2 linked regions of the Notamacropus eugenii genome follow. The protein of the gene in region 1 purifies or fractionates together with the protein of each later gene. This does not show direct contact. Links are inferred from orthologs where the notes say so. Each region holds a gene or a part of one and is shown in the gene's direction. Other genes may lie near its edges.

Region 1 (7,289 bases):
GTATATTAATTTCTTGACAATTTGAATGGCCTGAAAATGGAATCAAATGCATAGACATGAGGTAGGTAGTGAGTTTTCTATTACTGGAGATTTTCAGTTAGGAACTATAATTCTTTCATTTTATTCCTTACAACATCCCTGGAAGGAAGGTGCTGTTATTGTCTTCACTGTACAGATGATGAAACTGAGGTAGTCAGAGGTTAAGTGACTTGCCCAAAGTCATACAGCTAGTAAAGGCCTGAGATAGGATTTGAATGCAGGTCCTGCTGATTTCAACACAACTATCTCACTTCAGACACTTGACACTCACTAGCTGTATGACCTTGGGCAAGTCACTTAACCCCACATTCTGGGTCATCTCCAGTCATCCTGATGAATATCTGGTCACCGGATTCAGATGGCTATGGAGGAGAAGTGAGGCTGGTGACCTGCAGCCCTACCTCACTCAAAACAAAGTCAAGCGCAAGTCATGTCATTATTTCTCTGATGACATGGTCTTCTTTGGCAATGAAGGACGAACACATACACACCCCACCTAGTTGCCTGTCAGTGATGGAAGGCATTCATATTTCAGTAATGGATTAAACTAGATGATTTCTGAAGTCTCTTTCTCTTATGATTCCATAACCATATGATTTTAATATTCATACTTCTTCATGAGAGTTTTAAAAATATCTGCATCCTCTGGAAGAACCTCATTAGGTTCTTTGATATCTTTCTCTGGCATTCTTTTCCTAGTTTAATTTACTTATATCTCTGCTGCTGATTCTGATGCTTATTGGATCAAAATACTGAAATGAGACACTGGGGGAGGGCTATCAGAATCTGTACCTGTGATGCCATCAGTTTAGGGAGTTCCCAGTGTGGAAACTTCCTCTACCATTGTAGATCAGCCACTCATTTGTAATTTATAGTTTTAGGGAGCTGCCTGGAGACTGGGAGATAAGTAGCTTGTCCATCATCATGGAATCAGTCTTATAGATTTAGAGTTAAAGAGGATCTCAGAGGACATCTACTCTAGCGCCAACAATTTACAGATGAATAACTAAAGCACAAAGATTTTAAGTAATTTGCTCAGGGTCTCACAAGCAGTAAATGGTAAAGCCAAGATGAAAGGCCACACCTTCATTTTAAATTCAATAGTTCTCTCTTTCCTTACATATTCAGTGAGAAAATGGGCTTAAACTACAGTGGTAAATAGAACATATGTAGAGGATGCATGTGGCAAAGAGTTAATTCATAGTTCCTGGTTACTGAGTTCTTTTTCCCTTTATGGAATCTCCAAGAAATTTCCTTTAGGTCTTTGTTGAGTTCCAAGTTTGTGTTTTGGTAGAGTCCATAGCCTTTGTTTCTTTTTGCCCCTAATGGGGCATGATTTCTGAAGTTGACTTTCTTAACTGGTCTGTCCTTCTACATCCATCTGCAGGTGCTTCCACTGTCATCATCCTTTGCTATCACCTCTGATGGACCTTGTCATCAACTTTATGAGGTCCACTGGGACCTCAGATGGTTCTGAACCTTCCAAGGTCCCAAGGCTGTAACCTGGTCAATTCTGTCTTAGGACACATACATTCACCAAGATTAGGGAAGAAGAAACACAAAAGGAAGAGCAGCCATGAACTCACTATCACATGGCCAGGTGGGGGAATATACCTTGCTGCCATTCCAGTACAAGGCAGCTCTCAGCAGATTACTCCTTTTGTATACACATTCACTTCTGACTCAAACACTCATGAGTCATCAGTCCTTCTGGCTCCTCAGTCAGTCAGAAGACTTTTTGTCACCACACAGTTTACTCAGTCACTCATAGCTACAAGTAGTACCCTCAAACTTTAGAAACAGACAGAAAATATGCTTTAAGGACTGAATTCTGTCAGGAAATATCCACATCTCTCACAAGGACTTGGATTTACAGACATACACATACGTACAGTAAATTAACAAATTAATCTTTCTGGGAATCAGCTTCAACTCTCCCCATTACTGTTAAGCCATCCCATCCTCCTAGTCACCCAAGCTCACAACCTTGGTGACATATTCAACTGCTCTCTCAAAATGTATCCCACATATCCAAATCTGTTCTCAAGTCTTGTTTCTATCTTCACAATATCTCTCTTAGAGTCCCCTTCTCTTCACTCACACAATGCTCTGGAGCAGGTCCTTTTCTGCTCAGCCTGGGCTAGCTACTTCAATAGCTTGCTGACTAGTCTCAAGTCAGTCCTCATTCCACTCTTTCTTCCACTCAGATGTCAAATGGATCTTTCTAAAAGAGCAGATCAGACTCTGTCATCCTCTCCCTTTAATAAAACTCCAATGCTTCTCTGTTATATTCAGGATCAAATAGAAAGTCCTCTGTTTGGTTTTTTTAAAGCTCCTCATAACCCAGTCCTTTTTTACCTTTCCAGTTTCCTTTCATTTTATTCTCTATTAACTCTATGATCCAGTGACACATCCCTTCCCCTACTTGGCTGTTTCTTCACCTGACTTGGTACCCTTCCCCAAGCTATCCTCCATTTCTGGAATACTCTGCCTCCTGCTTTCTTTCAAGACTCAGCTTAAAGCCCACCTCCTAGAAGAAGCTTTTCCCATGTCTCCTTTCCATCCCCCCCTTCCCTCTGAGGTTCCCTTTAGTCTGTATACATCTAGTATGTACAGCTGTTTACACGTTAGCTTCACAAGAAGGTGAGGGTTTTTTGTTTTGTTGCCCTTGTGTCCTCAGATCTTAACACAGTGTTTGGCATATAGTAAATATTTAATTAATGCTTGTTGACTGACTGCCTGACTCATCTAAAAAAGGAGCACGCACAATGACCTAGATGGCCTGAGGTCCTGGGAGTTCTAAATCTAGGATCTTACAATTATTCTCTGCCTCTCATTTATATCTTGGGAAAACAGATTTTAAAAAAAACAACTCATTTCTTTAAAGCACTTCCAGACATTGTTTCCCCACAGATTATGCCACAACCACACTGTAGGTTTATTGCATGGGGAATAGTTACAAAAAACTATACAATGTAGCGACTTTTACAATAAAGCGTTTTATAACAATGTCACAGGTAGGGTTAAAAAGTTTACACAATCCCTCAATCATAAAGAGAACTCTGCTTTCATCTTCTTTTTTTTCCAGAAAAAGTAGCTTTTTAGAAGTTGAACTGAAGTTCCATAAGCAAAGGGTACATAACTTCTTCAATAAGCATGTAAGCACCCCCCAAACTACTTTTTCCCCCTTCAATAGATTATCCAGATAATTTTCTTAATCTATAACTTCCTTCTCTAAGGCGTGTAGACACAAGTTAGGGAAAGGCAGTCAGTGAACATAGGAAAATTCAGTATTTTTGTTTATAAATGACCTTTACTCAAAACGTGGAAGTATCCATAAGGACAACCTAGTGCCAGCCTGGCCTGTTTTATGAGTAGCAGCAGTGATCGCTTCTAGACTCGGGGCTGCTGCATTAACTTTTTAATGCACGAAGGGCTCGGAATCAGGGCAGTTCTGGGGCTCCTAGCACTTGAGTGATTGTACAAAAGCAAAGCGAACACCGTCAGTAAGAAGAAGGGCTGCGTGCTGGAGGGGAAGAAGCGGAAGCGGGTGGTCTGGGGGAGCGGACCGCACCAGGCACCCGAGGATAGCCGGGAGCTGAGAGTAACCTTAATCCCTGGAGGGAAGGGGACCGAACCTAAACGCAGACCTGGCCCTTCCACCGCAGCAGCGCCGAGAAGCGACGGCCCGAGTTTCTGTCCCTTTAAGCAACCGGGGAGGATTAGGGTGAGGGGGAGATCTCCGTGGCTTGGTGGTCACGTGAAGCAGGGAGAGAAGTTGGAGGTCCCGGAGGTGGCTGGGAAGGAGGAACTTCGGGGGAAAGTTTTTTTTTCTTTTTCTTTCTTTCTCTCTCTCCCCCCCTCCCTGGGCGCGGATTCGGGGCGGGCGGGCGCGCAGAGGCAGGAGGAGGCGGAGTCGGCGGCCGGCTCGGGAGGGCCGTTCTCCCAAACTTTAGTTTTGGTGTCCGCCGAGAGTTTGGGTCTCAGTCGGGCGCAGCCGCCGCCGGGAAAAGAAAGGAAGGGAGGGAGGAAACTGAGGGAGAGAGAAAGAGGAGAAAGGGACGAACGAGCCTGAATTCCGCAGAGGGAGTTGAGGGAGAAAAGTTTTCCGGCGGCTGAGCCACTCCCGAAACTTGGGAGCGGCGTCCGGGGAACAGTCCGGGGGCCCCGTGGGGGGGGGGGGGGGCAGAGGGGATGCGGCCCTGGCCCGCGGACCCCTAGCTCGGAGACCCGGAGAAGGAGGAAGGAGAGGAGGCCAGCCCAGCCGCCTGCGCCTGCGGGGCCCCCCTCTCATTCTAGTTGCGGGTCCGAGGCTGTCCCGGACGGGCGGAGCCCTCCCCTCTCCGGGTTAGGGGGTGGGAAGCTCAGGGTGGGAGAGCCATGGATCCGGGCCAGCAGCCGCCGCAGCCGCCCTCCCAGGGCCAGGGGCCGGCTCCGGCTCAGCCCCCCCAGGGTCAGGGTCAGGGACCCCCGACGGGCCCTGGGCAGCCGGCGCCTCCGGGAGCTCCAGGCTCCCAGGCTGCGCCGCCGCCCCCCGCCGGGCATCAGATCGTGCACGTCCGGGGGGACTCGGAGACCGACCTGGAGGCGCTCTTCAACGCCGTCATGAACCCCAAGACCGCCAATGTGCCCCAGACTGTGCCCATGCGCCTCAGAAAGCTGCCCGACTCCTTCTTTAAGCCCCCGGAGCCCAAATCGCACTCCCGACAGGTAACTTCACGTTCCCTTCCCCCCTCCTTGCCCTTGTGAATCCCTTCTCCCCCCCTCGCGGGGCTCGGGGGACCCAGGGAGTCTGGGCTGGGGGGGCGCCTTGGAAGCATGGCCCTTCTGGCTGGCGGGGACGGGCTGGTCCCGGGGGCTCTCAGGGCACTGAGGAAGGGGGTGGGAAACTGGGACTACGGGGCCCGGGCGGCGGGGGGTGAGGGGAAGTCTCTCCCCGACTGACTTTCCCCCTCCTCCGGCCCCTCCCTGCGGCTGTTCTGGGCTGAGATTTTTTTTTCTCTTCTCCCCCCGATCCCTGTGTTCCCTTGAAGTTCTACACAGTCCTGGGGGTTGTCGATTTGCGGGGCTTTGGGGAGGCCCCCTTTTAACTTCCTTTCCCCCTTTTTTCCCAGGTTGGCGGGAGGAGTTGGGGGGAGGTTTGTGGGGGGCGGGGAGGGGAGGAGAACGAACTGGGCAGGGGGGGGTGGGGGTGGGGAAAAGTTGCTGAGAGCTCTGTGCTACTTGGTGGGCTTGCACAATGCAAGCACCTCCCCTCCCTCCGCACCTTCCTTCCTTCCTTCCTTCCCCTGCTGGACGGAGGGGGAGGGGGAGGGGGAGGGGGAGGGGGGAGTCTGGCATTTCGTGTGTGGGTGAGTTGCCAGCGGCAGCCTAGTTGGTGAAGTTGAGCCCTGGGCCCCCCTCTCCTTGAGGGCCTCTCGGTCCGCATCAGTCTCCTGGGGAGTCAAATAATTGTTCTCTTGTTTTCCAACGTTGATTAGGGGGTGGGGGTAGAACCAGTCCCTTTAGTTTCTTACTCTTTCTCTGGCTCTCCGCTCTATCTGCCCACCCCCCCCCCCCGCCCCCCCCCAGGAAAGCATTTATTTCCGTCCCTCTGAGTTTTAGCACTTTTCCGAGCTACGAAACACAACTTCCACTTCAGAGACTTCCGAGACTTTTCCTGAAAGTTGTTTATGGAGTGAGCCCTGCCCCCCTCCAGCACTTTTGTGCCTTAGATCGTTAGTTCTTTTCACTTTTAAAAAGTTAGTCGCATTAAGTAGTTTTAGAAATTCACTCTCCGGTGAAATGCTTTTGAATGAGCCATTTTTGTTATTTGTGAAAGATTAGAGTTGCTTTTTACAACTTTTTTTTTTTAAACACAGGCAGCCTTTGATAATGCTATACAGGTTGACTCATGAAGTCCAAGTATGATTAAAAGTTAATGTTTGGGAAGCGATGACTAATTCTAGGATAGCCATTGCTTTTTCATTCTTCCTGGGGTTGTGAACATGGCTGCTTTTAAATATTCGCCCCATTTCATTATAATATCGTTTAGGAGATTTTCAAAACCAAAAACCTCGGAGGTGCTTTCTTCTGGAATCAGCTATATGTTAATTAAATTGCGGTGGGTTAAAAAAACACTAAACATCTTTTCATTTTTTGAAATAACTTGTTAGGCAAAAACTTGGCATAGGATTCTTGTTCAAAATCTAATTTGTTTTCCAAATACTGCCTAGTAGTTGGGCTTTGAGTAACTAATTAAAGAATATCTCTCCCACTCCCACTTCCCATTCACATTAGTTTAAAACAGTCTACAAGAATGCAGTAGACATGGGCCTTTTTAGAGTCTAAAGCTCTCTTAAGCCTCTGGACAACTGGGGGGGAGGGGCTTCTGGTAAAGAGAAAGAAGGAAAAAGTAGTTAATAGCTATATCCCTCCGTAGACAAACTGAAAAGTGGGATTGGGGGTGCATCTGTGAATTCGTTATATAGATATACAGGTACGCTTTAGCAAGACTAGCTGACAGTTAAAACGTCCAACAGAAACTATAAAATAGATTCCCCATTTTAGATTTACCCAATAAGAACTATATATTAAAAGGAAATGGAATTGCAAATGGGTATATCTTCCAAATATTATACCAGTATATAAGAGCCAGTTAAATAGATGCATTGGCTTTTCATAATCCAAAATCATTAATTGGACCCCAGGAAGATTAGTAACTATGTGCCCTGAATTTTCCTTTGTCTTGTTGCTACTTAACATACCAAGTTTTCTTGATTAGTTCACACTAATCGTGAATGGAAATACAAAGGCAAGTTCTGATTTAAGGCATATGTTGTATCCTACTAATTTCTTCCTTTCATTGCCCATAGGAATTTAAGAAATTCCAGGCACTGAGTAATCTTTCATAACTTTTACCTGATTGTAATCTCTGATCAGTTTCAAACTGTACAATGTTCCTTGACTAACTAAATTAACATTTTAAACATCCCCTACTTTTAGAACTGGAAGGGATCTTCACGGTCCTCTACTCCAACCCTTCATTCTACAGATGAGGAAACTGAGTCCAGTGAGATTATAACTCAAGCTGTTGTAATGCCCTCATTATTTAGGTGCAGAGATGTGGTAATAACTGTTTAATTTAAATTCAGGTTCAAGTGTGGATTTTTTTAAACTTGTTAATGAATTTTCTGTTGTCAGAAACAATGTTAGCATTGTTTAAAAGTTGTTTTAATTGTGATGCTTTATTGATTGGAATTTGTTCATAA
Region 2 (7,180 bases), on another chromosome or scaffold:
TTTTCTATTCAATTATTAGACTGAGGGTGAGTAGTTCCTCAGGGGTGAGGAATCTCCCCGAATGAAAGGATTTGTTCTGGGAAATTTGGATTCAGTCAAAGGGCCAAACTTGAGGACCTAGAGGGTCAAATGTGGACTTGAGTCTAGAGGTTCCCCACCCCTGGTCTAGTCTATTTTCTATCTTCTGAAAAAACATTTATTCAATTGTGGGAATTGTAGGAAAACTTCATTGCATTGTTTGAATCTAGCCCTGCCTGACGGAAAATTGGATCACCCAAAGGACCTAGGTTATCCCGACCAGAACTCGGTCAGATCTAAAGCCTAGTGGATGCAAGGAATCTTCTCACAATTATACATCTCAATGTAACCCATGTGTCTTATCTGAAAACTAGCCCCGTACCAATTAGTCAGTTATTGTTCCCATGTTACTTGGGTTGAATGCAAGCACTTGGGGGGAATAAGACATCTCTTTTTCTAATTTCAGGGAATTTCACTTGCTTTCTCTCCCCCTCCCAATTTAGAAAGTCCTTAATCTTTCATCCAATTAGAAATCAGATTACCTAATGTATCCTGGTTGTTTCCTTTTAATTAATTGGTCTTACTTGATTGTTTTTAGTGTATAAAAATCTATTTCCTCTAGTATTCAGGGTCCAGCCCTGAGCTGAAGAAGAGGCCTGGTCCTGATTTGTTAGGCAATTGGCACATATTGCTTAATAAATCAATATGCTTGGAAGCTCAAACCTTTATTTTCCCAGTCATTTCATCTTTCACCTATCACAATATACATTAAGATGTAACACGTGGCTAACTGTCTATAGCATAGCTTCACCTGGATATATCATAAACTGAGCATGTTCATCAATTTTCTCCCCTTGGATCCACTCACAGAGACTAACAATCTGCCATTTTTGTTTTGTCTCCCCTTTATCCTTCATTTTGAATTAATTGTGTTTGACCTGGGCAGGTCTCCAGTTTCCTTACCTATAAAATGGTATGGTTTGATCCCAGAATTAGAGTTACAAGAGACTTCAATCCAATTCTCCCATTTTACAGATGAGGAAACAGCATCCAGAAGAATTAAATCACTTGCCTAAGGACACACAGATAATAAGCATCCGAGGTGGAAGGTGAACCCCTACCCTCTGACTCAGTCAGGGCTCTTTCCCCTTGTGACAAGTTGTTGATTCACAACAGATTTCCACACCATCCAACTTTTCCTTATTTAGGTCCTTACCATCCCTTAACTTGAAGATGATAATAGTTCAGTGGCTCCCCATTGCCTTCAAATAAAGTCAAAACGTCTTAGCTTGTTAAGCCTCCCCTACCTCCCCTTACAGAGCAGCTATAACCTGTATTTGAAAGATTATCTCACTCTACTGTCTTTGCATATTCTACAGGCTAGACCAGGGGTGGGGAACCTGTGGCCTTGAGGCCACATGTGGCCCTCTAAGTATTTATTATTTACTAATCCTTAATAAAAGGATTTGTTCTGTGATGTTTGGATTCAGTCAAAAGGCTGCACTTGAGAACCTAGAGGGACACGTGTAGCCTCCCCATTCCTGGTCTAGTTATATGGTACTATTCACTGTTTCCTGACCTCTTGCTTCTCTATATATTTGTTCACGCTGCCAAGAATAGATCGCCTCCCCCCCATTCCCATTCTCTTTCTTTTTTTCTTTTTGGAGGCAATCAGGGTGAAGTGACTTGTCCAGGATCACAGAACTAGTAAGTGTCTGAAGCCCAGTTTGAACTCAGGTCCTCCTGATTCCAGGGCTACTCCCCGCAAGTGCTGATTCCCTCATCCTACTTGAGGGAATCTTCTTCCTTCGAGGTTCATCTCCCGGGCCTGAAACTTCCCTGACTCTTCCCAACTAGACAGAATCTCTCTCACTTTAAATTTCTCAAAGCAGTTTTGATCTCCCTTTTGCACTTTTCACATTCTCCCTGGCAGTGCACTTATGAACTACCTTCCCAAACAGATGGTAAATTTCTTGATAATAAGATGTTCCCACTTCATCTTTGATCTCAGAGACAAAGAATTATCAAAATAAACTTAAAATGTGTACAATTTTTCTATTTTTTCGACATTCAATATTCTTGCATCATACACAAAAGGAGGGTAGAAAAGCTAACAAAGGAATAATGCATTTTTATTCTAGGAAAATCAATCAAGGTTTTAACAGCCTGGTGTAGGGAATCAAACAATAGATTTGGGATCAATAAAACCTGTATTCAGATCTCATTTCTGTCGAGACATATGCGATTGTGGGTGCGCAAGTCACAACTTCAGATAATCTTACTATTAATCAAACAGCATTAATTTTTAAAATTTTATTTATTTTTAATTTATGAAATGAAACAAGTATTTCCATAACATAGAAGAAAAAAGATGATGGCACATGAAACTGAAATCTATTAAGTACGACTTCCTATTCCTTTTAAATATATAATAAAGTTATCGTTTAAACTTTTTTCCCCTTTTTTCCTTCCTCCTCTCCTCCCCCATTGACGGGGGTCGGTCCTAGGCGCCTGGGCGGATAGGGGCCTCCCCGGGAGTGGCAGCCCACCAATCCGAGGGAGACACGGCTCCCATAGAGGAGTTGTGAGCCCACGGGATTGGTCGGGTGGGCTGGATCCAATCGGGTGGTAGGCCTCGCCCTCGGGGCGGGTTAGGATGGCAGCCCGGAAGAACCTCCCTATATAAGACAACGCCCTGAACTGCTCGTGGGACTCCTCCATGCAATAAAGCTATGAACCTCCTGCGCATTGCCTGATTATTGCCTGCCGCCGTGTCCCCCGGGGTAGGTCCGGAGACGTCCGAAGCGGTGCCCACCGAAGGGAGATTCTCACTCGAAGGTCCCGGGGACAGACCCGGGACACCCCATAGCTAAATGTATCCCAGTGTTGGGATACAAATTAAAGACAAAAGACGGTCCCTGCCCTCTAGGAGCTCACTGTCTAATGGGGGAGACAATATACAAGCTATATACAAACAAGATACATATAGGATAAATTGGAGATAATCAACAGAGCAACAGTAGCAATAAAGGGCATCTGGTTGCTATGAAACTCAAGTGAGGCATCTACGTAGCCAACCCCCACTTTCACCCAGATAAAGTGCAGGTAGGATCTTATGTAAACTTTGTATATCCTCCTCACCCTCCCTTCTCCCTTTCCGGCTCCCACCCAGAGAAGGACTGAAGTCCTAAATGAAGTCCAGGGTGAGGAAATCACCTCTATCAATATCGGGAACACCACACACACACACACACACACACACACACACACGTCTTCTTAAGGAAGAAAGAGTAAGGCTGAGTTGGTAGCTCACTTAAATCCAGTTCATCAAAGAGGCAAGACGTCACCCGGTGATGTCACTGATCCTTTTTAAGAACCAACACCACATTACATCATGCAGATCCATCAGCGAGGTCTTCTCCTTTCTGGGCTGAGCTGGGAGGGGGCCAGGTCCAAGTATTTACGTAAGCCTTTGTCTGTTTCCTCCCTAGTCCGGGGGGACTGGTCTGAACCTGCGGAGAAGTCCAGGAGCATGTATTTACTTGCAAGGACAGCTAGGTGGGCTAATGAATAGAGCGGGGCCCTGGAGTCCAGAGGAGATGAGTTCACGTCCAGCCCCAGACACTTGCCAGCTGTATAGCCCTGGGGAAGTCACTTAACCCTGTTTGCCTCAGTTTCCTCTTTCCTAAGAAAACCCCAAATGAAGTTATGAAGAGTCGGACGCGACTGAAAACCACCAGACCCTGCAAAGCAGCGGGGATACGAAGAAAGGCAAAAAAAAAATAACCCAAGCGAACAAAACCCTTATATCTGCTCTCAAAAAGATGCAAACAGCTGTGCCCAAACAAGAGAAAAAAATACATCGGCGGGAGGGGGATGGTAGCCCCAGTTTCCTAGAGCTCTGAAAAAGCAAGGGACTCGCCCAGGGTCCCGCAGCCTCCGGTCTCGGTAAACTAGCTGTAGTCGGTACTTGACAAAGGTTAACGGAGTTGAATCGCTCGGCAGACTGGCGATGCCGGGTCTCCCCGCCAGGAGGCGCCTTACGCTCTCGGGCCAGCTCGCGCCACACCCACCCGAAAGGCGCCTACCTCCCAGGGAGGGGTTTTCCCCTTCGCGCCTCCTCCCCACCACCCCTCTCCAAGCGCAGGCATTAGTAATCTATCTCGGGAGAGCGGCGCGGCGCGCGCAGGGCTCTCGGCGCTCACTCCAAAGCCCACTTCCCTGGGCCGCCCGCGGTGGGCGGGAGAGAAAGCTAGGCGCGCGAGAGGCGGAGGCGAGGCGGCACGCGGCGTAAGTGGGGACCAGGGGCTCCCCCTCCCGACGCTCACGGCCAGTCTCGGTGGTGCGCCGCCGTTCCACGCGTTCCGAGGACAGAAGGAAGGAGAAGGCGGTGGGAGGATGGCGGAGCCGGCGGACAAGCCCTACCGGGCCGAGTACGCAAAGAGCGGGCGCGCCTCCTGCAAGAAATGCGGCGAGAGCATCGCCAAGGACTCGCTCCGTCTGGCCATCATGGTGCAGGTAGGAGGACCGACCCGGGAAGCCCCTTGGGTGGCCTCTCCGGCGGGGCCTGGGGAAAGTGAGCCGGAGCTCTCCGGGCCCTCCCCCCGCTCCCCTCCCTCCCCTCCCCCCGCCTTCATTCCCAGGAGGCTTCGATCCTGCAGCCGGGGTGGGGGCGGGGCGCCCTTGGCCTTGCGCTCTACCCCCTGCCGGGTTTTCGCGACCCCCCCCACCCCTCCCCCTCCGGCTGGGCCGGGCCGCTTTGTGTACACTTGCCTAGCTCCGGGTCGGGGCTGCTCCTCCCCCACCTAGGGAGGTCCCTAAACTTTTCTTTTGGCCTTTTTAAAAACGATAACCATCTTCTCGGAGAAGATCCTGTTAGGCCCCGGGAATGGGGTAGGCGCCGGCGCGTCTCCGGGCCTGCCGAGGAGGTTTTGCGGACCCCGGCAGCAAAGGCTGGGCCTCGGGAAGAAGCCAGCTGGGGTCCGTTAGGAGCCCTTTCTGCGGGCTCGGCAGGCCGCGTGGACGGCGGGCTCCGCAGCTGCTCGGGGCGGGGGGCTTGGGTACCGAGACCGGCTGGGGGCCCACCTCCCCGATGTTATCTCGTCCCCACGCGGTGGAGGAATGGTCCAAAAGTGAGCATCACCCGTGGGATCCTCAGATAGGAAGGACGGGAAAAAGAAAAAATAAAGGCCGAGTGGCCTCATTTTCCGTCCTTTAAAATTGTCCCCTGGAGGGCTCTGATTTTCCCGCTGCCATATTCCTTGGGCTTTGGCTGAGGTCGGGCAAGCAGATGAGCAGCTGTCCGCAAGAGATGTTTTTTTAAAAAATTCGCTTAATGGAAGTCACTCACATAATGTAGCAGATCATGTTTGTGTATGTGTATCTGTTTGTGTATCATGTTCTGATTTGTTATATGGATTCTTTCATTTATCTTAGTCTGACTACATAGCATGACTATAGTGAAAATATACTCAATAGGAAAGTATATGTAGAATCTATACAGAATTGTATGCAGTCGTGGGGAGGGAGGGAGGTAGTGGGGGGTGGGTGGGGAGGGATAAAATCGCAATTGTATGGCAGTGATTGTTAAACATTAAAAAAATAAAAAAATTAATAAAAAAAAAATTCGCTTAATGGACGTGCACGTTTTAATGCTGGGAAATGGCAGCTCTCGGCACGTAGATATTTCGTGGTAAACGACACAGCCCCGGACTTCGGAAATGCACCTTAGGGATAGAATTTTCAGACTTTTTTTAGGACACACAGAGATGCCTGCCCCCAGCTCTGCGCTGGAACTCGTTGGTGAAGGGGTTAAAATTCCCACCACAGAGCCCCGTTGGGCCATCGTTGTTCCAAAACGGGCTTCTGGGACCGCAAGGTGTTGATATTTGAGACTGGAAACATGACTTGCAGGAGTTTTTCTAATAGAAGATGGAACTGAGGGGAAGGCCTTGAGTGCACACCCAGTTATGTCTGATTCTTCTGGGAGGGTGAAGGACGTTTAACTCATTAAATTTCACTTGTAAGTTACTCTTTTTCCAAGTCTTCCCCAGGCTGCCACTGCCATTCTCCCATCTCCTCATCTTTCTTAGTTTGGATCAGGTCCCTTGAACATTTAGTTCAAAACAAGGAGCTCACCATCCTCATCCTCATCACAGAGTGCTCAGCTGGGTGTGGAAGTGGGAGTACCATGTCTGGAGTCAGGAAGACTCGTCTTACTGAGTTCAAATTTGGCCTCAAGACACCCTGGGCAAGTCATTTCACCCTGTTTGCCTCAGTTTCCACATCTGTAAAATGAGCTAGAGAAGGAAATGGCAAACCGCTCCAGTGTCTGCCAAGAAAACCCCAAAATGGGGTCGTGAAGAGAACCCACCGAACAACAACATAAGTGGGCGAGATCCGGATCTCCTACAACTAGCCCTCTCCCTTTCATTCTTGTGCCCCGATCTCTTCCCCTCTCTAAATCCTACCCATCTGTTTCCTTGGAGCCATCCTCTAACACCAACCCTTATTCATTTACCCTAGAAGTAGCACATCATCACCTGTGACCTAAAAATACACAATCCTGTGTGCTGATTGGTTCATGGGTCTTAGCTTTGTCTTTTAATTAGGCAGCAGTACTGTGGGGAAAGTTCTGACTACAGAGTCAGGAAACTAGGGTTCAAACCCACTTCTGTTTGTGTGGCCCAAGGCAAGCCACTTGAGCTGTAAAAAAGAAAGGGTTGGACTGCTTGGTCTCTTAGGTCTCTTCATATTCTACTTATAGAATCCTTAAAATCATCAAAACCTGGAGGAGACCTCTTAAGAAATAATAGTGCGTGAGCACTAGGTTTGGAGTAAAGAGATCCAAGTTCCAGACTGTATTCTGCCTGTCACTATCTTTGTAGCCTTAGCCAATTTTAGGTCTGTCTCAGTTTCGTTCTGTGGAAAAGAAAGGCATTGAACTTCATAGATGATTTCTGGGGACCTTTCTAGAGCTAAGGTTCAATAATTCTAAGTAATCCCAGCACTACCAATCTTAAAAAGGAAATATGTCCAAATGGAAAAACTTTATGAAGAATATTGGACCAAAAAAAATCTTCAGAATAATTAGGAAACTCAGACAGGGCCAGTAAATAAGAGAAAGCAATCATTCCTCTGACCCTAGATCTGATGATGGTTT

What was found. Proteins that work in one complex are often made in the same cells at the same time.
Region 2: the proteins of YAP1 (region 1) and PARP1 purify together in Homo sapiens (affinity purification with mass spectrometry, with the first as the bait; 3 studies listed by BioGRID). This does not show direct contact. The link is inferred for Notamacropus eugenii from reciprocal best matches to the Homo sapiens genes YAP1 and PARP1.

The regions. Positions count from the first base shown.
Region 1 is NC_092876.1:154,292,106-154,299,394, reverse strand, and holds the start of YAP1 (transcriptional coactivator YAP1), read left to right. Parts: upstream 1-4,268; 5' UTR 4,269-4,419; coding exon 4,420-4,749; intron 4,750-7,289. UniProt on the Homo sapiens protein: Transcriptional regulator with dual roles as a coactivator and corepressor. Critical downstream regulatory target in the Hippo signaling pathway, crucial for organ size control and tumor suppression by restricting proliferation and promoting apoptosis.
Region 2 is NC_092873.1:409,803,401-409,810,580, forward strand, and holds the start of PARP1 (poly [ADP-ribose] polymerase 1), read left to right. Parts: upstream 1-4,173; 5' UTR 4,174-4,416; coding exon 4,417-4,536; intron 4,537-7,180. UniProt on the Homo sapiens protein: Poly-ADP-ribosyltransferase that mediates poly-ADP-ribosylation of proteins and plays a key role in DNA repair.